3 linked regions of the Rattus norvegicus genome follow. The protein of the gene in region 1 purifies or fractionates together with the protein of each later gene. This does not show direct contact. Links are inferred from orthologs where the notes say so. Each region holds a gene or a part of one and is shown in the gene's direction. Other genes may lie near its edges.

Region 1 (6,619 bases):
ATTTCCGGCCTCTCTGATACCCTGCTCTTGGCTTAGCAGGAAGCTGTGTTTTGATAAGCCTTATGCTTTCAGCATGCACTGAAATAAATGCATCCAAGTCCTCTCATAACTACTGTTGATGCAGAAGGAAATTCAGTAGAGAGCTTTGGTTGGCTGGATATCAACTGATTTAAATGATGATCTGTTCCTATTTAAAATCATGTTGGAAATTATATAATTCAGCAGCAGACCTGGTATTTAAATGGAATCCCCTGTGGACCTCCTTTTTATTACAGCTATCATTTCTGTCCTTGACTTTAAAAGAGATGCCCACTGTGATGCTTTTCAGGTCTAATCTGATAGAGAAACCAGATGTGGGAGCTGCAAGCTGGGGTGTCCTCTGAGGGCAGGTAGCTATTCGTCTCGGGCTTTGAGAAGAACTTTGTGTCAACTCCACCCTCTTGGATATTATGTATATTATATGTACAGTGTACAAGGGTTTTCTTCTTCCCAAATGATTTTTATCTAATGTGGTAATTATTCGTATGTGCCTGAATGTGGTAGAACGTGTCAAATTCATGCCTCCATGGGTCAGGTGCCTGGGTTACCTGACTCTGAACTCATGAGGTAAGATCAGGAGAACTCTGTCAAGAGGAGAGAGGGGTTTGGGTCAAGCATCTTGCCCTTCCTCCTTCCATAATTGAGGGGCATACCCAGTCAGTAGAGGGGCTGCTGCGAGAACCCTTGTGCATTTTCTACCCGAGAAGGGTGCAGTTGTTGTTAAAGTAGGTGATACCTGTGTGTACTGTGTTCTTTCCTATCTAGAACTTCCCAGACTGACTTCATCAGATTTGTGCCATCTTTGTTGCTGTAATAAGCTGTACTTTGGAGTAGTGTTAGGATGTATTTTGATCTACACAGCAAACATGTCTTGACAGACATTTGCAATTACAATTACATGTGTTCACCATCTCTCTGCATCGCTTGCTTCTGCCCCCTCCTCCCTCTTTACCGGTCGGCCCTGTGTCTCCAGAGATTTTTGCCTTTCCTAGAATGTCATATAATGGAATGGCTATTTAAGAGCTAGTTAGGAGACAGCAAGGCAGACTGTTCAGGGGATCCTACCACAGAGTTCTACCGTCGAGAAGAGCTCAGCTCCTTTGAGGATAAGTGGGAGTTCACAGCCAGACAGGAGGGTGGTGTGGTGGATCCTGGATGAGCCCACCTCACAGGATTCTTGCTAACGGAGGACAGGTGACCGAACAGCCATCCCACGCAGCATTGTGGGAGCCTAGGAACCTGGTCAGGTGTCAGCAGTGGATGATTCTTGCTAACGTAAGACTGGATGATGCAGAGATGGACACAAAAGCTACAGAGAACAGGGTTCCCAGGGACTTCAGTAAAGTTTGCTCAAAGGAGACCCCATGTCCAAATCCACATGCCCAGCCTTTCTGGCCTCGCTGCCTGCCTTCAGGTCTAGGAAGCGTCTGCATTTTCTTCTGCTCTTTCCCTAGCACTTAAACATCCCACTGCCTTAAACCAGACAATTGGTTTAGCAGTTCACCTCCTGGAGGGTATCTTTGGTTATTTCCCAGTTTGGGCAATTTGAATAAAGAAGTGAATATCCAAGTATTGCTTTGTTTTACGGTATGATTTTATATTTATAGGAATAGTTCTGTACAGTTATTTATGCAGGAAATTAGCCCCTAGCTAATTTCTCCAGTGTTAACATATTATATTGAATTGTCAAAACTAGCTAGCCTGGGCGCGTCGCTGTTGTCTAGGCTTTGTTTACATTTCAACAGTGTTTTTACAAATTTTCTTGGTGTATTTTACCATCCATCTCCAAATACCTCAGTGCATTGGTAGTACATTAATTGAATTTGAGTTTATAGGAGTGGTTTGGGTGTGTTATATTTATTAAATATCTTCAAAATCCTCAGCATGTGCTGAAAATAGGAGTGCAAACCTATCAGCTGTAAGGGCGGTGTCACTTGCCAAGTGAGCGCTTTAATCATGAGATTATTATTCTGAGTGTTTTGCCCCCAAGTTCGCATCTAGCGTCAGTAAATGCGCAGTGTGCTTAGTGCACTGAGAGGGGCTGCAGGCTTTGATTACAAGATGCTGTTTCTCAGCAGCACTAGGGCCTACGGGTAGGTCATTCTAAGGGCAAGTGCTTCAAGGGGCTGAGAGGAGACCGGGGGCAGTGTGGCCATGGGAGCTGTCGTTGACAGCTTTTCAAATCTGTCAGAGGAGAGGGGTTCAGGTAGCTAATGAGCATCTTTAAATGTTTTGCTGGCAGAAGGGCTCCATGAAAGATGACAGAAGAAGTCATTGTCATAGCCAAGTGGGACTACACTGCCCAGCAGGACCAGGAGCTCGACATCAGGAAGAACGAGCGGCTGTGGCTGCTGGACGACTCCAAGACGTGGTGGCGGGTGAGGAATGCGGCCAACAGGACAGGCTACGTGCCTTCCAACTACGTGGAGCGTAAGAACAGCCTGAAGAAGGGGTCCCTGGTGAAGAATCTCAAGGACACGCTAGGTGAGTGTCCATACCCCACCTGGAATAGCAGGTCGTCCCACAGGAACAGCCAGGGTTAGCACTGCTGCTTCAGTGTGCGTGTGCGTGCATGCGTGCGTGCGTGCGTGCGTGTGTGTCTGTGTCTGTGTCTGTGTGTGTGTGTGTGTTAGATACGTAGTGTGTGTATGCATGTGTTGTGTGTGTGTGTGTTATGTATGTAGTGTGTGTATGCATGTGTAGTGTGTGTGTGTGTGTTAGGTATGTAGTGTGTGTATGCATGTGTAGTGTGTGTGTGTGTGTTAGGTATGTAGTGTGTGTATGCATGTGTAGTGTGTGTGTGTGTGTTAGGTATGTAGTGTGTGTATGCATGTGTAGTGTGTGTGTGTTAGGTATGTAGTGTGTGTATGCATGTGTAGTGTGTGTGCGTGTGTGTGTGTGTGTGCGTGTGTGTCTGTGTCTCTGTGTGTGTGTCTGTGTTAGATACGTAGTGTGTGTATGCATGTGTAGTGTGTGTGTGTGTGTGTGTGTGTGTGTGTGTTAGATACATAGTGTGTGTATGCATGTGTTGTGTGTGTGTGTGTGTGTGGTAGGTGTATAGTGTGTGTGTACGTGTTGTGTGTGATAGGAATGTGTGTAGTGTGTGTGTGTATGTGGCTGTGTATACAGTGTGTTTGTGTGTATGGAGTAGGTATGTATGTATGTTATGGGGTGTGTTATATGTGGTAGGTGTGTAGTGTGTGTGTAGGTGTGTGTGTGTGTTAGATATGTAGTATGTGTTTGCATGTGTAGTATGTGTGTATGTGTGTGGTAGGTGTATAGTGTGTGTGTATGTGCTGTGTGTGGTAGGAATGTGTGTAGTGTATGTATGTGGCTGTGTATTCAGTATGTTTGTGTGTATGGAGTAGGTGTATATGTTGTGGGGTGTATATGTATGTGGTAGGTGTGTAATATGTGTGTGTGTATGGTAGGAATGTGTATAGTATGTGTATGTATGTGGCTGTGTATTCAGTGTGTTTGTGTGTGTGGAGTAGTTGTAGGGTGTGTTGTATATGGTAGGTGCATAGTGTGTGTATAGGTGTGTGTGTATGTATGTGCTATGTGTGTGTATGTGTAGTAGGAGTGTGGGTAGTGTATATATGTGGTGCCTGTGTGTGTGTGTGTGTGTGTGTGTGTGTATGTGTATGTGCTGTGTGTGTGTATGTGTGGTAGGAGTGTGTGTATGTATGTGGTGCATGTGTGTGTGTATGTGTATGTAGTGTATGTGTTTTGGGGCCGGTATTAATGTTGATAGCCTCCTACCTTCTGGGGTTTTATATTGAGATTAAGATAAACACTAATCATTCTCTGGATAAATTATACAGTTTGGGATCTTGGGTAAATCAACTCCTCCTCATGGTGCTAAGGACCCCTACACAGCTGTCTGTCTCCTTGTATCCAGACAGTAGAGGACCCTGACTTAGAATCATGACAAGTTTAGTAGCTTTTTCTGTCAGTGTATCACCTTTTATCTTACAAATTCCCATGCTGGCCTCTGCACACAGAAGGAGAAGGCACTTCTCCCCTCGTCTTCGGTGATAGCATAGTTTATTCTACAGTTTCGGGCAGTTGGTTAATGTGTAGTTGGGGTGATTAGAAACATGACATCAGAAGTCTCTCAGATGGATACCTCCATAAGCCCTGTTTGGTTATCACATTCTTCATAGCTGTGCCTCTTGTCTTCCTCTGGTATATTAGTTCATTTCCTGACACTGTAACAAACTGCTTGAGGTTAGGCTATATAAAGAACACTGCTTAATTTGGCTTACACTCATGGTCCAAAGTCAAGTGGCTGTATGTATATCTCCTTCTTGGCAAATTTTCAGTATGGTACAAGTTCCTTATGGCAAGAGACCAGGAGGGATAAAGAATTGTATGTGTGTGTTTTTGATACTGTTCCCTCTGTAAACAGAATTTATGCAACTGCTATCACCCAAAGGCCCCACTTCTAACCACTGTTATAGGAACCAGTTTCTTCTTTCTTACTACCTCTGTAGGGGATTAAATTCAGCACAAGGTAAGGAGATACATTCGAACCCCAGTAATCCATAGCACCTGATCAGACAGGGGTTCGCTACCTCAGTGGTAGGGAAGCATACCTGAGTGTGTACATTGTCCTCACCAACCATGGTTACTGCCTCAGATTGTCTGAGAATATAATTGGGAGGGCTCTGTGGAAGGACAACTGAACTGAGCTGACAGTTTACAGTTGCTGCCTCCTCAGGTAAAGTATAAAGTTGTCTATAGGCAACAAGGCCAGCTCGCCACTTGAGGTTTGTTGTGGAAGTAAGCCAGTATCATCACCTGGGCTGAGTGTATGTAGGCTTTTTTGTGTGTTACTGGAAGAGAATTAGTTTCATTAGCAGGGGCAGGGTGAGGGGACTATGGGAAAATTGAAAACAAAATCACACTGAGTGTGGTGGGTGTTGCAGGGAATCCGTCTTCTTCCTTGTAAAATCCACAAAGGTCACTGCTCACCCTTCAGTGGGTGAAGCCTTCGGTCACTGGGAGGGATTTTGTGCTGTGGTTGGATTTTTCTCAGGTTATCGGTGGCTAGTGTAGACTCTGAGACTGCTGGGAAAGCTCCATATGTTATTAGCATTCTAAGTCTTTTTTTTTTCTCTAAACTTTCTCCCCTGTGTATTCTTTTTCTTTGGTTTAAAAACAGTCACTGGAAAGAAATGCTTCTGTCCTAGTCTCAGGACTCTCAGTGAGGTGCGATAGATAAAGAGGCATGTTGAATGGGTCAGTGCTTTAGTGTGGTCCTGAGAGTATTTGACTGATTTTCCAACTCCCTCTTACCACACCCTCTGTAGTACTGTTGAGCATTGTTGACATATTTTGCCTCAAAAATATCTCAGAATTCCATAAACTACAAAACACACAGGACTTGGAGGTGGACTAAGTGAGCCTCCAAGGTCATGGAGAGCTCCTCGAGTGACTGCCTTATTGACTTTCTTAGAAGTCAAGATAAGGCAGGGTCAGAGCTCCGGGCTTTATCTTTGCCCAGTATATTCAGACTTCCCTGCGTGTGATCAGTTCCTCTTGTTTCACAACCCTAAGGTACAGAGCAAGGCAGCACATCTTCCCCCTGGTGCTGGGCCTGCTTCCCTGTCACCGACAGACCGCCATCCAGCCCTGCTGGAATGCTTCGACTGCTAGAAAAGGCCAATTCCATTTTTGGAGAATACAGATTGTTAGAAAGTGCTTCCTAAAATAGAATCGAAATTTTACATTTCTCAAACTTCCTCCCCTTGGCTCTGACTCTGCCCTCCAGGGCTATGCCAAGCAGAACAAATCGCTTTAGTGAGTGACAGCTCTTCTGTGAACTTCTGTCTCAGTTTCAACACATAGTTCTTTGGAAACATTTGCATTAAGCATGAAAGATTGCAAAAATACAGATAAACTATGTTTTAGGTATCCATATTTATTAATAGGAGTTGATTTTTATAGTCAAGGGGCCTTTGGGATTCAGGGGGAAGTAGTTCAATTTTTTTTTCCTACAATTTATCTGTGCATGCACATACAAAGGGGGGGGGGGGGTATGTGCCACAACATGTATGTCTGGGTGAGAAATGGGTGAGAAAACAGCCCACGGCATCTGTTCTTTCTTTCTACCTTGTAAGTCCCTGGGTTTGAACTAATCAATCAGGTCTATAGATTTGATGGTAAGCACCCTTATCCATTAAGCTAGTTCACTGGCTTGGTTTCCGTTTTTAGTACTTTGTTGTTGCTGTCTGTTCCTTTGTTTTTATTACCTGTCACGATCACCTTTGCTATTGGACAAAGAGAGATCTTGTTATCTGAGTACAGGCTTCCTGTCGAGGAAGAAGGGGAGGCATCTTTACCACGATCTCTATGTGTGAAATCTTCTTTCTCTGCAGCCCGTCTTCCCCCAGTTTGTAGGCTGGGTGCGAGTGCTTTCTGTAATTCCTCCTGTCTCCCAGTATCTCTTTTAATATAAACCCCAGAGGCTAAATGTAACCGTTTGAGCTTTTCTATGCCTGGCCTTGGTCTGAATAAGGACAGGGAGACTTTTTTCTTTTTAACACAATGCCTTTGGCCTTAGCTTAGGCCAACT
Region 2 (6,719 bases), on another chromosome or scaffold:
CTGTTCTTCAGATCGCTGTGTCTTTGAAATAGCCGGCTCTGTTGGACAGCACAGTGGGAGGAGTTGGAGATTTGTCAGTCAAGTTTCTCATCAGTTCTGTTCTCCTGCAACAGTTCCTGGTCTAGAGAACCGTTAGGATTTCTTCTCTTTTCTATCTTTACTGCTGGTCATCGAGAGACTATTGGAAATACTTGTTATTCACGGTGGATCACAGATATCCCTGTAAGGAGTTCAAAACTCGGCCTTCCTGTGGCCTTCTTGCCACGCTAGCTTGACTGTTAAGCTTGGCTTAGTCCACACGGTCTCCATCTTTACTGTGGACTGCCGCAAGTCTCCTTGCCCCAGCCATAGTTGCTTTGTTCAGAAGCAGTTCCTCTGTGCACTGACGAATTGACCTCTTTGTTTCTTCTTCTTCTTTTTTTTTTAAAGATATGTTTTTTACTTTTGTTTCTGTGTGTCTGTGTGCTGCATGTGGGTGGGTTCCCATGGAGGTCAGAGAGGGCATTGGATCCCCTGGAACTGGAGTTACAGGTTCTTGTGAGCAGCCTGATATGGGAGCTACAAGAGCAGCAAATGCTCGTGACCTCTGAGCCATCTCTCCAGCCCTTTATTTTCTCTTTCCTATCTGAGTTTAGATTCCTTGTGCCCGGGTTATTCTGGCTTCCATTTTTGGAGATCAAGAAAAGAGATTTTCTTGGGACCAAGCTTTGGAGAACTTGATGTTCTTGAGCTCTCCGTTTTATCTTTAGCCAGTGTAATGACTTACATCAGTCAATCTGTCCGTCCATCCCTCAGTTCAGTCCTGTATGAACTTAAGCAAATTGTAATGGGCAGATAGCTGTAGGTTTCAAATGCTAAGTGTTTTGTGACCAAGTGTGTAGCTAATTTCTCATGTGGTATTTATTCTCTAATCAAGTCCCATGGGTGTGACTATTCCAAGGTACAGGTGAACTGTGGCCTATTAGTCAAATACGGTCACAGCCTGCTCTTGAATGCCTCTCAAACTGAGAATGACTTTATATGTGTGTTTGTACATATGTGCATATACACACACATATATATATACATATGTGCATATATAGAGAATATATATATCCTAGATATGTGAAAACACACACACACACACACACACACACTTTCCAAGACAGGGTTTTCTGTATAGCTCTGATTTGTCTACCAGGTTGGCCTCGACCACTGCTTCCCAAATGCTGAGACTAAAGGCCTGGACCACTGCTGCCAGTGACTTTATGTTCTTAAAAGGCTGTTAAAAAAAAAATCAGGGGGCTGGGGATTTAGCTCAGTGGTAGAGCGCTTACCTAGGAAGCGCAAGGCCCTGGGTTCGGTCCCCAGCTCCGGAAAAAAAAAAAAAAAAAAGAGCACTGATTGCTCTTCCAGAGGTCCTGAGTTCAATTCCCAGCAACCACATCCAACATTCCCAGCTCACAGCCATCTGTAATGAGGTCCGATGCCCTCTTCTGGTGTATCTGAAGATAGCAATAGTGTACTCATTTAAAAAAAAAACTAAAATAGATAAATCTTTTTGAATAGCTAATTGATAGAATATAGGCTCACCGCACCTTCAAGCCCTGACACCCTCCACCCCCAAGTCAGAGGACTTAAACAGATGCCTCAGCCAAGAAGATGCACAATGGCAGGTGGGCATATGAAAACATGATCAACACCAGGCTCCTTGGAAATTGTGAATTAAGCAAGATTGCAAACTGAACAGTACATGCTTACTAGCGAGGCCAAGATCCAAACCGACAGCACCAAGTGCTGGCAGAGATGTGGAGCAACAGGAATTCTGTGTTGCTGATGCAAACCCAAAGTTGGTATAGCCATTTGCAGCATCTTATAGAATCAAACACACTTGTACTGTATGACCCACCAGCCAGTCACACGGTGGCGAGGTGCGTGCATGGACAGTTACCTAGAAACTCTTGGTGCTTCTTGCTCTGTTTTGCTGTGAACCTAAAACTTCTAAAATTGAGGTTTTTTTGGTTGTTTTTGTCTTTTAGTTGGGCTGGGAATAGACATCAGTGGTGAAGCCTGTGCTTAGCATGCGTGAGGCCCTGGGTTTGATCCTCAGTACCACAAAACAGAATCATTTATAAAAGGAGTCTGTAAGGTGGCATTTTATAGAGCATTTATGTAGGGGACGAAGTGTTCAGGACCTCTGGTCCTTGTCTAATCCTAGACTTCCTGGGTACTCAGAGCCTCTAATTTTAACGCTGTTCTTTTGAATTCTGGTTTTGTTTATAGGTCTATGAATGACCTAAAGCTGCAACTAAAAACGGAGAGAGAACGGTGCCAACTGGGAGCAGGGCAAGCATGCCAATTCCTCCTCCCCCCCCACCCCCGCCTGGTCCTCCCCCACCTCCCACCTTCAGTCAGGTAGGTAACCTCTCCACTGGGTTATCTTCAAACCTCTAAGTAAATTGGTGGGCTTCTCGTACTGTTCTCTTCTTTTTCTTTCCAGCCTTCTTTGTTTAAAACTTCTAGATTTTCTTACCTAACTGCTCTTTCACTGTGAGCTTGCTTTTTGCTGTGTTTACTTTTCTTTTATATACTTGACACGGATGAGTGTTTTCCCTGCTTGTATGTATATGTGCCACTTGCATGCCCGGTGCCCAGGAGGTGGAAGTTAGCCTTGGGATCCTCAGGAATGGAGTTACAGCAGCTGTGGAACCTGGGTCCTCTGCAAGATCAGCAGTGTTCTTAATCACTGAGCCGTCTCTCCAGCACTTACCCTCTTGTGGTTTTGTTTTTTGTTTGTTACAACAAAATCTCGCTATATAGTCCAGGCTGGCCTTGTATTTGCCGTGTAGTCCAGGCTGGCCTTAAATTTGCCTCATTTCTCTTTTTTTTTTTTTTTCTTTTTTTCCAGAGCTGGGGACCGAACCCAGGGCCTTGCGCTTGCTAGGCAAGCACTCTACCACTGAGCTAAATCCCCAAACCCCTGCCTCATTTTTCTTAACTGCTGGGATTACAGACATAAAATAACCCTATCTACTAATTGTTTTAAATACCATCTATACTTTTAATATGTATTTAAATTTTTTTTCTTTTTCTTTTTTTCGGTGTATTTAAATTTTAACTAAAAATTTTCTCCTCGGATTTTGAGACAGGATCTTACTATGTGACTGGCCTAGAGCTTACTAGCCTGTAACTTGCAGTGTGATCCTCTTTTCTCTGCCTTGTGGATTGTAGCCCTGAGCATCTGCCCAGCTGCATCCTGGATTCCTGTCGCATTTGTAGACACATTTAATAGCAGGCAATGTAGATAGACAACAAGCCTGTCTGCCTCAACGGGTTTGCATTTCTGAGCAGTCCCCATAACTATCTATTTTATAAATAGGTTAGTCTCAGTTGGGCGGTGGTGGCACACGCCTTTAATCCCCGGCATTTGGAAGTGAGAGGCAAGTGGATCCCTGAGTTCAAGGCCAGCCTGGACTACTGAGCAAGTCCCAGGACAGCCAGGGGCTACATAGCGAAATCTTGTTACCAAAACCAACCAACCAAAAACATAACAAAAATGCGAATAGGTTAGCCTCCTTTCTCTGGCGTTCTTGAGAGAGGGATGAGGACCTGAGGAGGTAGTTTTCTGCTACATTTCATCTTTCCTGCGCCCAGTCAGTTCAGTACAGTTTTTAAAATTGTTTTCTTTTATGTGTGGGTGATTTGCCTGCATGTATCTGTGAACCATATGAATGCCTAGTGTCCTAGGAGCCAGAAGAGGCTGTCAGGTCCTGAACTGGAGTACAGACAATGATGAGCTGTCATGTGAGTGCTGGGAATTGAACCCAGGTCCTATAGAAGAGCAGCCAGTACCCTCAACCATTGATCCATCTCTTCAGCTCCTTGGGTTTTTGTTTTGTTTTGTTTGAGCCAGGTCTCACCGTGTAGACCTGGCTGGCCTGGAACTCAGAGATCTGTCTGCCTTTGCCTCCCCAGTTTTGGGATTAAAGGCGTACACCACCGTGCTCAGCCTTTGTTGGTTTGGGCTTAAGACAGGGTCTGACTGAGCAGCCCAAACTGGCCTGAATGTAACTAGTCCTCCTGCCTCAGCCTTGACCATCCCCAGCTTTCATCTGAACAGTTTTTGCACTTTTCCTCTCTGTGCCAAGCACTGTAGAGTACTGAGTGGTGGTCCTGTTGTCATGAACATGTCATGTTGTCAACAGTTGTAAACTATACTAACTTAATAGGTAAACTATATTGACTCTTAGCCTGCTTTCTTAATAAATTAAAAAACATACAGATTATACGTATGAGTGGTTTTGCTTGCCTTTGACAGCTTGTATGCCTGGTGTCTTCTGAGGAGGCCATAGTAGAATGTCAGATTTGGAGCAGGAGTTACAAGTGGTTGTCAGTTGACTGATGTGGGTGTTGGGAACTGAACTCAGGTCTTCTGTAAAAGGAACAAATGTTCTTAAATCTCTGAGCCGTTTCTTCAGACCCTGCATTCTTTTTAATCTTAATTGTTGCTGAAAAATTTTAAATATCTGCTTCCTGTTTAATTTCTTTTGTGAGGGGTTGGGGGTTTAGCTCAGTGGTAGAGCGCTTGCAGGCCCTGGGTTCGGTCCCCAGCTCCGGAAAAAAAAGAAAAAGAAAAGAAATCTTTTGTGAAGTACGGTCGTGTCCTTGGATTATTAACTGTCGGTGTGTGTCCTAGTCAGGGCTTCCATTGCTGAGAAGAGACACCATGCCTAAGGCAACTCTTATAGGGACATTTAACTGGGGCTGGCTTACAGGTTCCATTATCATCATGCCAGGAAGCAGGGCAGTGTCCAGGTAGACACGATGCTGGAGAAGGAGCCGAGAGCTCTGCATCTAGAACTGAATGAAGGCAGCAGGAGACTGCCATCCTCAGGCAGCTAGGAACTCTCTCAAAGCCTACTCCCACAGCGCCACACCTTCTCCTTCAACAGCGCCACACCTAATCCAACAGGGCCACACCTCCTAACAGTGCCACTCCCTGGACCAAGCATATTGAAACCACCAGTTTGTAAAACGTTTTTATATGTTAAGGTACTGTAGAGCCCAGGCTTTCCCTGTGCTTTAGTTGTGTTAGAAACCGTGAGCCTTTGTGCATAGTTACACTTGTATCTCAGGCTGGACTTGAACTCCAGATCCTGATATCTCAGCCAGCTAAGGTTATCTGCAGTGTGTGCTATCGTACCCAGTTTTAGAATGGTTTTGATTTCTAATGATTTACAGAAAGGTTCATTAAGAGCTTGGAAAGCCCTACCTGGGTGTAGGCTGGTAGAATGGCTCAGAATGCGTGGCAGCCTAAGTCTGGTCCCATGGTAGAGGGAGAGAATTGACTCATGAAAGTTGTCTTTGACCTTCATACATGAGCACATGCATGTGAGTGCACATGTATGTGCACACACAGAGACACAAATGGAATAATTGAAAAAAAACTCTGCATTTAATGAGTGGTGTTAAGATTTAACAGATGGACTGGGGCTATAGCTCAGTGGTGGAACATTTGCCTAGGCTGCAGAGTGTCTGAGTTTGGTCACTCAGACACACACACACACACCCCAACCACAACGGTGTGGGTTACATTTTAGGTATATGTAGGATATTCATTTGGGGATGTATTGTATCTGCTGCTGTGCATGTGAAGCTGAGGTCAGACATGAGGGTGAGATGGAAAACTGGGAGGGTTGTGGAGACAGGCCCCAGTCAGTGAAGTGCTCACATCACAAGCAGCACGGCTTCAGTTTACTCTAGCACTCCTGTTTAAGGAAAAAGGAAGCTGAGTGCAGCAGGAGATAGAGGTGAGTGGTCTCTGAGTGCAGCAGGAGGTAGAGGTGAGTGGTCTCTGAGTGCAGCAGGAGGTAGAGGTGAGTGGTCTCTGAGTGCAGCAGGAGGTAGAGGTGAGTGGTCTCTGAGTGCAGCAGGAGTAGAGGTGAGTGGTCTCTGAGTGCAGCAGGAGGTAGAGGTGAGTGGTCTCTGAGTGCAGCAGGAGGTAGAGGCCAGTGGTCTCTGAGTGCAGCAGGAGTAGAGGTGAGTGGTCTCTGAGTGCAGCAGGAGGTAGAGGTCAGTGGTCTCTGAGTGCAGCAGGAGATAGAGGTGAGTGGTCTCTGAGTGCAGCAGGAGGTAGAGGTGAGTGGTCTCTGAGTGCAGCAGGAGGTAGAGGTCAGTGGTCTCTGAGTGCAGCAGGAGGTAGAGGTGAGTGGTCTCTGAGTGCAGCAGGAGGTAGAGGTCAGTGGTCTCTGAGTGCAGCAGGAGGTAGAGGTCAGTGGTCTCTGAGTGCAGCAGGAGGTAGAGGTCAGTGGTCTCTGAGTGCAGCAGGAGGTAGAGGTCAGTGGTCTCTGAGTGCAGCAGGAGATAGAGGTGAGTGGTCTCTGAGTGCAGCAGGAGGTAGAGGTGAGTGGTCTCTGAGTGCAGCAGGAGGTAGAGGTCAGTGGTCTCTGAGTGCAGGCCAGCCAAAGCTGTGTATGAGACCTGGTCTCAGAACTAGAATGCAGCACAAACATTACCAAAATGAAGTGGAGAGCATTTGAGGAAGACACAGGACATCAACCTCTGGTCTCCGTATGCATGTGTGCACACGTATATACACAGGAATATGTCTGCCCATAGTGTGCAAACCATGATGGGCTTTGTTCATTAACATGTAGATGGAGGCTGAGGATGGAACTTGGGGAAGTGACGTAAGAGAAAGATGAAGAGGGTTGAAAGAGGCAGGAACTCTGAGGCAATCA
Region 3 (6,619 bases), on another chromosome or scaffold:
ACAGGTGGCTGGAGAGCTGTCTCAGTGGTTAAGAGCACTGACTGCTTTTCCAATGGTCTTAAGTTCAATTCCCAGCAACCACATGGTGGCTCACAACCATCTGTAATGGGATCTGATACCTATCTCTTCTGGTGTGTCTGAAGACAGCTACAGCATGCTCATAGACATAAAGTAAATCTTTAAAAAAAAAAAAAAAATCAGCAGAGCAAGCCAGGCAGTGGTAGCGCATGCCTTTAATCCCCAGCACTTGGGAAGCAGAGGCCGGCAGATCTCTAAGTTCCAGGACAGCTAGGACTGCACAGAGAAATCATGTCTTGAAAAAACAAAAATTGGGGTTGGGGATTTAGCTCAGTGGTAGAGCGCTTGCCTAGGAAGCGCAAGGCCCTGGGTTCGGTCCCCAGCTCCGAAAAAAAAAAGAACCAAAAAAAAAAAAGGATAAGAAAAAACAAAAATTAACAGAACAAATGTGTAGCAGTTGGAGGCTGAGAGAAGAATCAAGAAAATTCTCCCACGGTTTTCTTTTTCAAAGGTAACTGAATGGGAAATGTGAAAGATAATAGTTGGAAATAATGAACAAATTAAATAGAATAAGGGAAATAAAGAAATAATATGAAAAAAAGACGCAGGAGTTGGCGAGGTGGCTTGGATTTAAGAACAGTTATTGCTGGGTTTGGTTCCTAATGCTCTTAGGATGGCTCACAGCCATCTGACACTCCAGTTCCAGGAATCTGATGCTTCTTCTGACCTCCGTGGATACTGTGTAAAGGTGGTGCCCTTATATACATATGGTCCATATACATACTAGGAAACAATTTTTTTTTTTTTTTTTAAAGAAACTGGAGGATGGAGAGATGAGTCAGCAGTTAGGAGCACTGAGCACTTGCTGTTGTTACAGAGGATCCAGGTTTGGTTCCTAGCGCTCACATCACATAGATGACAGCTACCTGGAGCTTCAGTTCTGGGGCAGCTAATGGCTTCTTTTGGCCTTTGAGGGTACCTGCACATAAATAGTGCGCATGTACTCAAGCAGACACATGCACATAAAAGTCATAAAAAACTGAAAAGACATTATTATTTGATGAAGGGTTAGAGTAGAATGAGGAGTGATTGCTAATTGAGAAAAGGTTTCTTTTTTGTTTGTTTGTTTGTTTAAAAATTTATTTATTATATATAAGTACACTGTAGCTGTCTTCAAACACACCAGAAGAGGGCGTCAGATCTCATTACAGATGGTTGTGAACCACCATGTGGTTGCTGGGATTTGAACTCAGGACCTCTGGAAGAACAGTCAGTGCTCTTAACAACTGAGCCATCTCTCCAGCCCGAGAAAAGGTTTCTTTAGGGGTTGATAAAATATACTAGTTATATGGTGATAATGATTGTGACATTATGAATATATTAAACCTCATTGGATCATACATACAACTCAAACAAGTAAATACAGCATAGATGGGAAAGAATAATAAAACTAGATTCAGCCAATTGCAAAAAATGATCAATAAAGCAGCCGAAACTGTAGCCTATAGGAACTCTACTTTTTTTTTATATTTTGTTTTGTTCGAGATGAGGTTTCACTGTGTAGCCTTGGTTGTTCTGGAATTTGCCCTGTAGACCAGGCTGGCCTTGAACTCATAGAGATCTGCCTACCTCTGCCTCTGCCTCCCGAGTGCTAGGATTAAAAGCATGTGCCACTACCACCTGTTTATGTGAAGTAGTAGTTGTTGTTGTTGTTGTTGTTGTTGTTGTTGTTGTTGTTTTAAATTGCATGTCAGGTTATAATGAAAGGTTTGCTGGAATTGGGAGTGAAAGCCAGGGCGGAGCATCTGGTTAGCCCATACAAGCCCAGGTTCAGTCTTCACTAAGGCACAATGGAATGTTATATACAAGTATGTACTGATAAATTCAAGTTATGGAAAGTGAATTTTTTTCTTAAACGATATAGATTTCCAAAGTTTACTTTTATAAAAATGATTAAAGACTGTGTATGTCCTAGAAGAATTGAGTTTATAGCTAAAACCCTTTCTACAAAGAAAATTATTAAAACCTACCTATCTTCATTAGTGAATCAATAAAATGTTTATGGATGAAATAAAACAATTCTATATAATTTCCATAAAATAGAATATGAGATGTTTCTGACACATTTAGTGACTTCAGTTTACCCAGACCAAAACATTACAAGAGAGCTATATTTTTCTCTTGAAGTTGGCGAAGTTTTAACAGTGGTACTCCAACAATGTGTGAGAAGAGCGATAGACCAGGGCCAGATAGAGCTTGTTTCATGACTGCAAGGACGATTAAGGTGGTGTAACTTAGGATAAGCAGTGTGGTTGTACAAGTAGAAAAGACACTGAACATAACTCAACATTCATTTCTGACATGTGCTGAGCAAACTTGAAATCAAAGGAAATGTAATAAATTTGATAAAGGGCATGTTAGAAACATTGACTGTTTATTAAACTAAAAAAAACTGACTATTTTCATTTCCTGTTTCAGTAAAAACACAAAAATACTTACTAAGGCCTTTACTTAACCATGGTCTGGGGACTAGCCAATTCAGTAAGGTGCGATGAATGAAAGAGTAAGAAAGCTCCAAATTAGGAAGGATATGGCCACCTCTCTTTGGTTCACTATAGCATATTACTTATAGAAAACTCTGTGAGGCCTACACAGATTTTAAAGTAAGTAAGAGAGTGTTCAAAGGTCAGGCCTAAAGAATGAAGTTTATTTTGTGTTCTCTGGTGGGGCTGATCCCTGTGCTCCAGTCATGCTAAGCAAGCAAGCTACCTCTGAGTTACACTCCAACCCACAAACTGTAGCGTCAAAAATAAGTATTCCTTTACAGAAATATGAAAGTAATGGCAGGGTCAGTATTCTGTCTCCCAATAACTAGCAAACATTGCTGAGAGAAATTAAACTCCTAATTTATAAAGATTTGTTATTGGCCATGGATCAGAAAGCAAAATGTGTATAAATTCTAAGTTGATTTATAGGTTAATGCAGTTCCCGTCACAGCCTGAGAAGGCTTTTTGTAGAAATGTAAAGCATTGTTAATTTCATATAGAAATGTAGAGGACCTGAAATCATCCTAGCAGATTTGAAAACAGTAAAAAAAAAAAAAAAAAAAAAAAAAAGGCCTTAGACTGTTCTTTTGATGTTTGTTATAAGGATGACAGTAATCAAGGTACACGGGGTTGGCATAATGATAGAGAGATGACTTTAAGAGAGCAGAGCATCCAGAAATAGATTCATGGTTTTAAGAGCTACAGATTAGAGGAGGAGGACTGGAGAGGAGAAGGAATTGATGTGTTTAAATGTGCAAAAAATGTTACTGATGTTGCAGTAATTTTTTTTACAGTGCAACTATAGGAGAGTTGGGTAATTTAAAGATGTAATATTTACAGACTGTAATAAAAAGGAAAGTATAAGCCAGGTATGGTGACTCATGCATTCAATCTTAATATTCTTAGGCTATACAGGAGAATTGCCATGAATTTGAGGCCAGTGTGGGCTGGAAAATGAGGCCCTGTCTCAGAAAAGCAAGTTGGAAGAAGAGGAAGGGAATGAAGGAAGAAATCAGCTTTCACAAGTGGCGTTTGTAAATTGTGTCATTGGAGGCCCCCTCCGTCAGGGCGCGAGATGTGTGTACCTGGGTCCTATCATAATTTTATTCATAATTGGTTTCAGGAAAATACAAACACAGTAACAAATGCCATAATTAGCTTTGTTTAAAGAGATAATTTTCTCCCTCATCCCTCAGGAAGTAAAAAGAAAGAAAAAGAACGGCCAGAGATTTCTCCGCCGTCTGATTTTGAGCATACCATCCATGTTGGCTTTGATGCTGTTACGGGAGAGTTCACTGTAAGTTACCAATTGAAGTTTGTTTATTAAAGCAGTGCTGAAAGGTTGGGGAATCGCTCTGTGGACAGAAGCACTCACTAGCTGGGCAGTAGCAGCCTTTAATCCAGGACTGGGGAGGCAGAGGCAGGTGGATCTCTAACTTCAGGACCAGTTTGGTCTACATGGTTTCAGGACAGTCAAAGCTGCATGGAGAAACCCAGTCTCCAAAACGTGAGAGAGAGAAAGACCTACTATGCAAGTATGAGGACCTGAGTTCAAATCTCCAGCTTGCACATAACCAGATAAAGTAATTGTAGTGCTCCTACTATGTAGTGGGGGACAAGAGAGACTGCATGCTCATGGAGTTGTGTGGTTATGGTGACGCAGTAAGAGCAAGCGACCTTTCTCAAGGAGGAAGACAACCATGCCTGAGATGATCCACTGGCTTCTGAAAATGTGCACACAGTCAAAATAAGAAACCAAAAAAGGAACTCCAGCATTTTGTTCAATGTTAGGCTTAAAATTAACTTTTCTCTCTGGTTTTTTGAGACTGGATTTTTATGTAGCCCAGGCTGGCCTCCCACAAACTTTATTTTGTAGTTAAGGCTGGTCTTGAATTTAGTCCTCCTGTCTCTGCTGTCCATGTGCCAAGGTGATAACTATGGGGTCACATGACTGGTATTGAACTTTTCTATCCCATATGATGATCCTTTCTTTATTTGTTGTTGTTGTTTGTTTAAAACAAAGTTCACTATGTCCCAGTAAAACCTGGAATTCTAAATTCTCCTGCTTTTAGGTGTCAGAGTGTGGGGTTATACACTGACTACATAGAATTAGTTATCAATTCTTACTGGTCATAAAAATATTAGTGTGACTCAGAAAATTAGAGCATTTGTTGCTCTTGCAGAGGATCTGGGTTCCGTGTCCAGCACCCACATGTGGCTCACAATGATCCACAATTCTAGTTCCGGTGTATCTGACACCTGTTTCTGACCTCTGAGGGCATGAAACATATAGGTGGACATACGTACATGCAGGCAGAATAGTCAGTCACATACAGAGCATAGCCTTCAAAGGGATTAGTAATTGGATGACCCTTTTCTCCAGAGAGCCAAGCCTATCAATTATAGTTATGAAAAACAGGTACAGAGTGTGATGGTTTGTATAGGCTTGGCCCAGGAAGTGGCACTATTAGAAGGTATGGCCCTGTGGAGTAGGTGTGCCATTGGGTGTGGGCTTTAAGACCCTCATTGTAGCTGCTTGGAAGTCAGTGTGTTCCGCTAGCAGTCCTCAGATGAAGACATAGAACTCTCAGCTCCCCCTGCTCCATACCTGTCTGGACACTGCCATGTTCCCACCTTGATGATAATGGACTGAACCTCTGAACCTGTAAGCCAGCCCCAATTAAATGTTGTCCTTATAAGAGCTGCATTGGTCATGGTGTCTGTTCACAGCAGTAAAACCATGACTAAGACACAGAGAAATGAACTTTTAGGGATAGGATGATGGCTCAGTTGGCAAAATGCTTATCTTGCAAGTATGAAAAGATCTGAATTCAGATCTTTCCTTAAAACTCATAAAAAGCCAAATGCTGGGGCTGGGGATTTAGCTCAGTGGTAGAGCGCTTACCTAGGAAGCGCAAGGCCCTGGGTTCGGTCCCCAGCTCCGAAAAAAAGAACCAAAAAAAAAAAAAAAAAAAAAAAAGCCAAATGCTGTTGCGTGATTCCACGCTCCCAACCTATTTGGTAGCATTTTAGGCCAGTAGAAGATCCTATCTCAAACAAAATTTGGAAGGTACTGGAGGACCACACTAGAGCCTGTCAGTTGACCACATAGTCCTTTTAAAAAAACCTAGACTTTTTGCCAGACATGGTGGCATACACTTTTAATCCCAGCATTTGAGGTAGGTTGATCTCTGAATTTGAGGCCAGCATGGTCTACAGAGTAAGTGAATCCTAGGACGGCTGAGGTTACACAGAGAAACCCTGTCTCAAAAAACAGAATAAAACCACTGTACATTTTAATCCCAATACTAAGGCAACTGTGGGCAACTAAGGCAACTGGAATTTAAAATATTTTGAGTTCCAGGCCAGGCTGGGCTATATAGTTAAAACTCTGTGTCAAAAATAAGTGAGTAGGGCTGTAGAGGGCTCAGGTTCGGAGCACTGGCTGTTCTTGCAGGAGACCTGGTTCAGCTCCCAGCACCCACACAGCAGCTCAGAGCCTTCCGTAACACGACTGCCTGGGTGTTGTCGTTGGCCTGTGAAATGTTTTTCATTAGAGCATTAAACCGTAACTGATTTGTGGATTTCTTTTGGTTAGGGCATGCCAGAGCAGTGGGCACGGCTGTTGCAGACCTCCAACATTACCAAACTGGAGCAGAAGAAGAACCCGCAGGCTGTGCTGGATGTCTTGAAGTTCTACGACTCCAACACTGTGAAGCAGAAGTACCTGAGCTTCACTCCTCCTGGTAAGACCCAGACCGTGGTAAGAGGCTGGACCAGGTGGGAGAGCCGAAGCCCTCCCGGGTGAAAGATGGAGTACAGCCGCTGTCGCTCCCTCTCTCCCGCACAAATCTCCCTTTTCGAGGGTGATGAGGTAGGCCCAGAGCATGTCTGCAGATCAGTTAACCTCATCGTTTTGCCAGAAATAGAGTTGGGGATGTTTGGGCTCTTTGCTTATTTAATCTTTTTCTCTTTGATGCTCTTTTTTTTTTTTTTTTAAATTATTTATTATATATAAGTATCCTGTCTTCAGACACACCAGAAGAGGGCATCGG

Evidence for each region.
Region 2: the proteins of Nck2 (region 1) and Wipf2 purify together in Homo sapiens (affinity purification with mass spectrometry; 3 studies listed by BioGRID and IntAct, counting the BioPlex papers as one, with this or other methods). This does not show direct contact. The link is inferred for Rattus norvegicus from reciprocal best matches to the Homo sapiens genes NCK2 and WIPF2.
Region 3: the proteins of Nck2 (region 1) and Pak2 purify together in Homo sapiens (affinity purification with mass spectrometry; 3 studies listed by BioGRID and IntAct, counting the BioPlex papers as one, with this or other methods). This does not show direct contact. The link is inferred for Rattus norvegicus from reciprocal best matches to the Homo sapiens genes NCK2 and PAK2.

Annotation. Positions count from the first base shown.
Region 1 is NC_086027.1:53,292,596-53,299,214, forward strand, and holds part of Nck2 (cytoplasmic protein NCK2), read left to right. Parts: intron 1-2,281; 5' UTR 2,282-2,297; coding exon 2,298-2,523; intron 2,524-6,619. UniProt on the Homo sapiens protein: Adapter protein which associates with tyrosine-phosphorylated growth factor receptors or their cellular substrates. Maintains low levels of EIF2S1 phosphorylation by promoting its dephosphorylation by PP1.
Region 2 is NC_086028.1:84,334,392-84,341,110, forward strand, and holds the start of Wipf2 (WAS/WASL-interacting protein family member 2), read left to right. Parts: upstream 1-2,331; coding exon 2,332-2,394; intron 2,395-6,719. UniProt on the Homo sapiens protein: Plays an active role in the formation of cell surface protrusions downstream of activated PDGFB receptors. Plays an important role in actin-microspike formation through cooperation with WASL.
Region 3 is NC_086029.1:82,242,366-82,248,984, forward strand, and holds part of Pak2 (serine/threonine-protein kinase PAK 2), read left to right. Parts: intron 1-3,760; coding exon 3,761-3,861; intron 3,862-6,162; coding exon 6,163-6,310; intron 6,311-6,619. UniProt on the Homo sapiens protein: Serine/threonine protein kinase that plays a role in a variety of different signaling pathways including cytoskeleton regulation, cell motility, cell cycle progression, apoptosis or proliferation.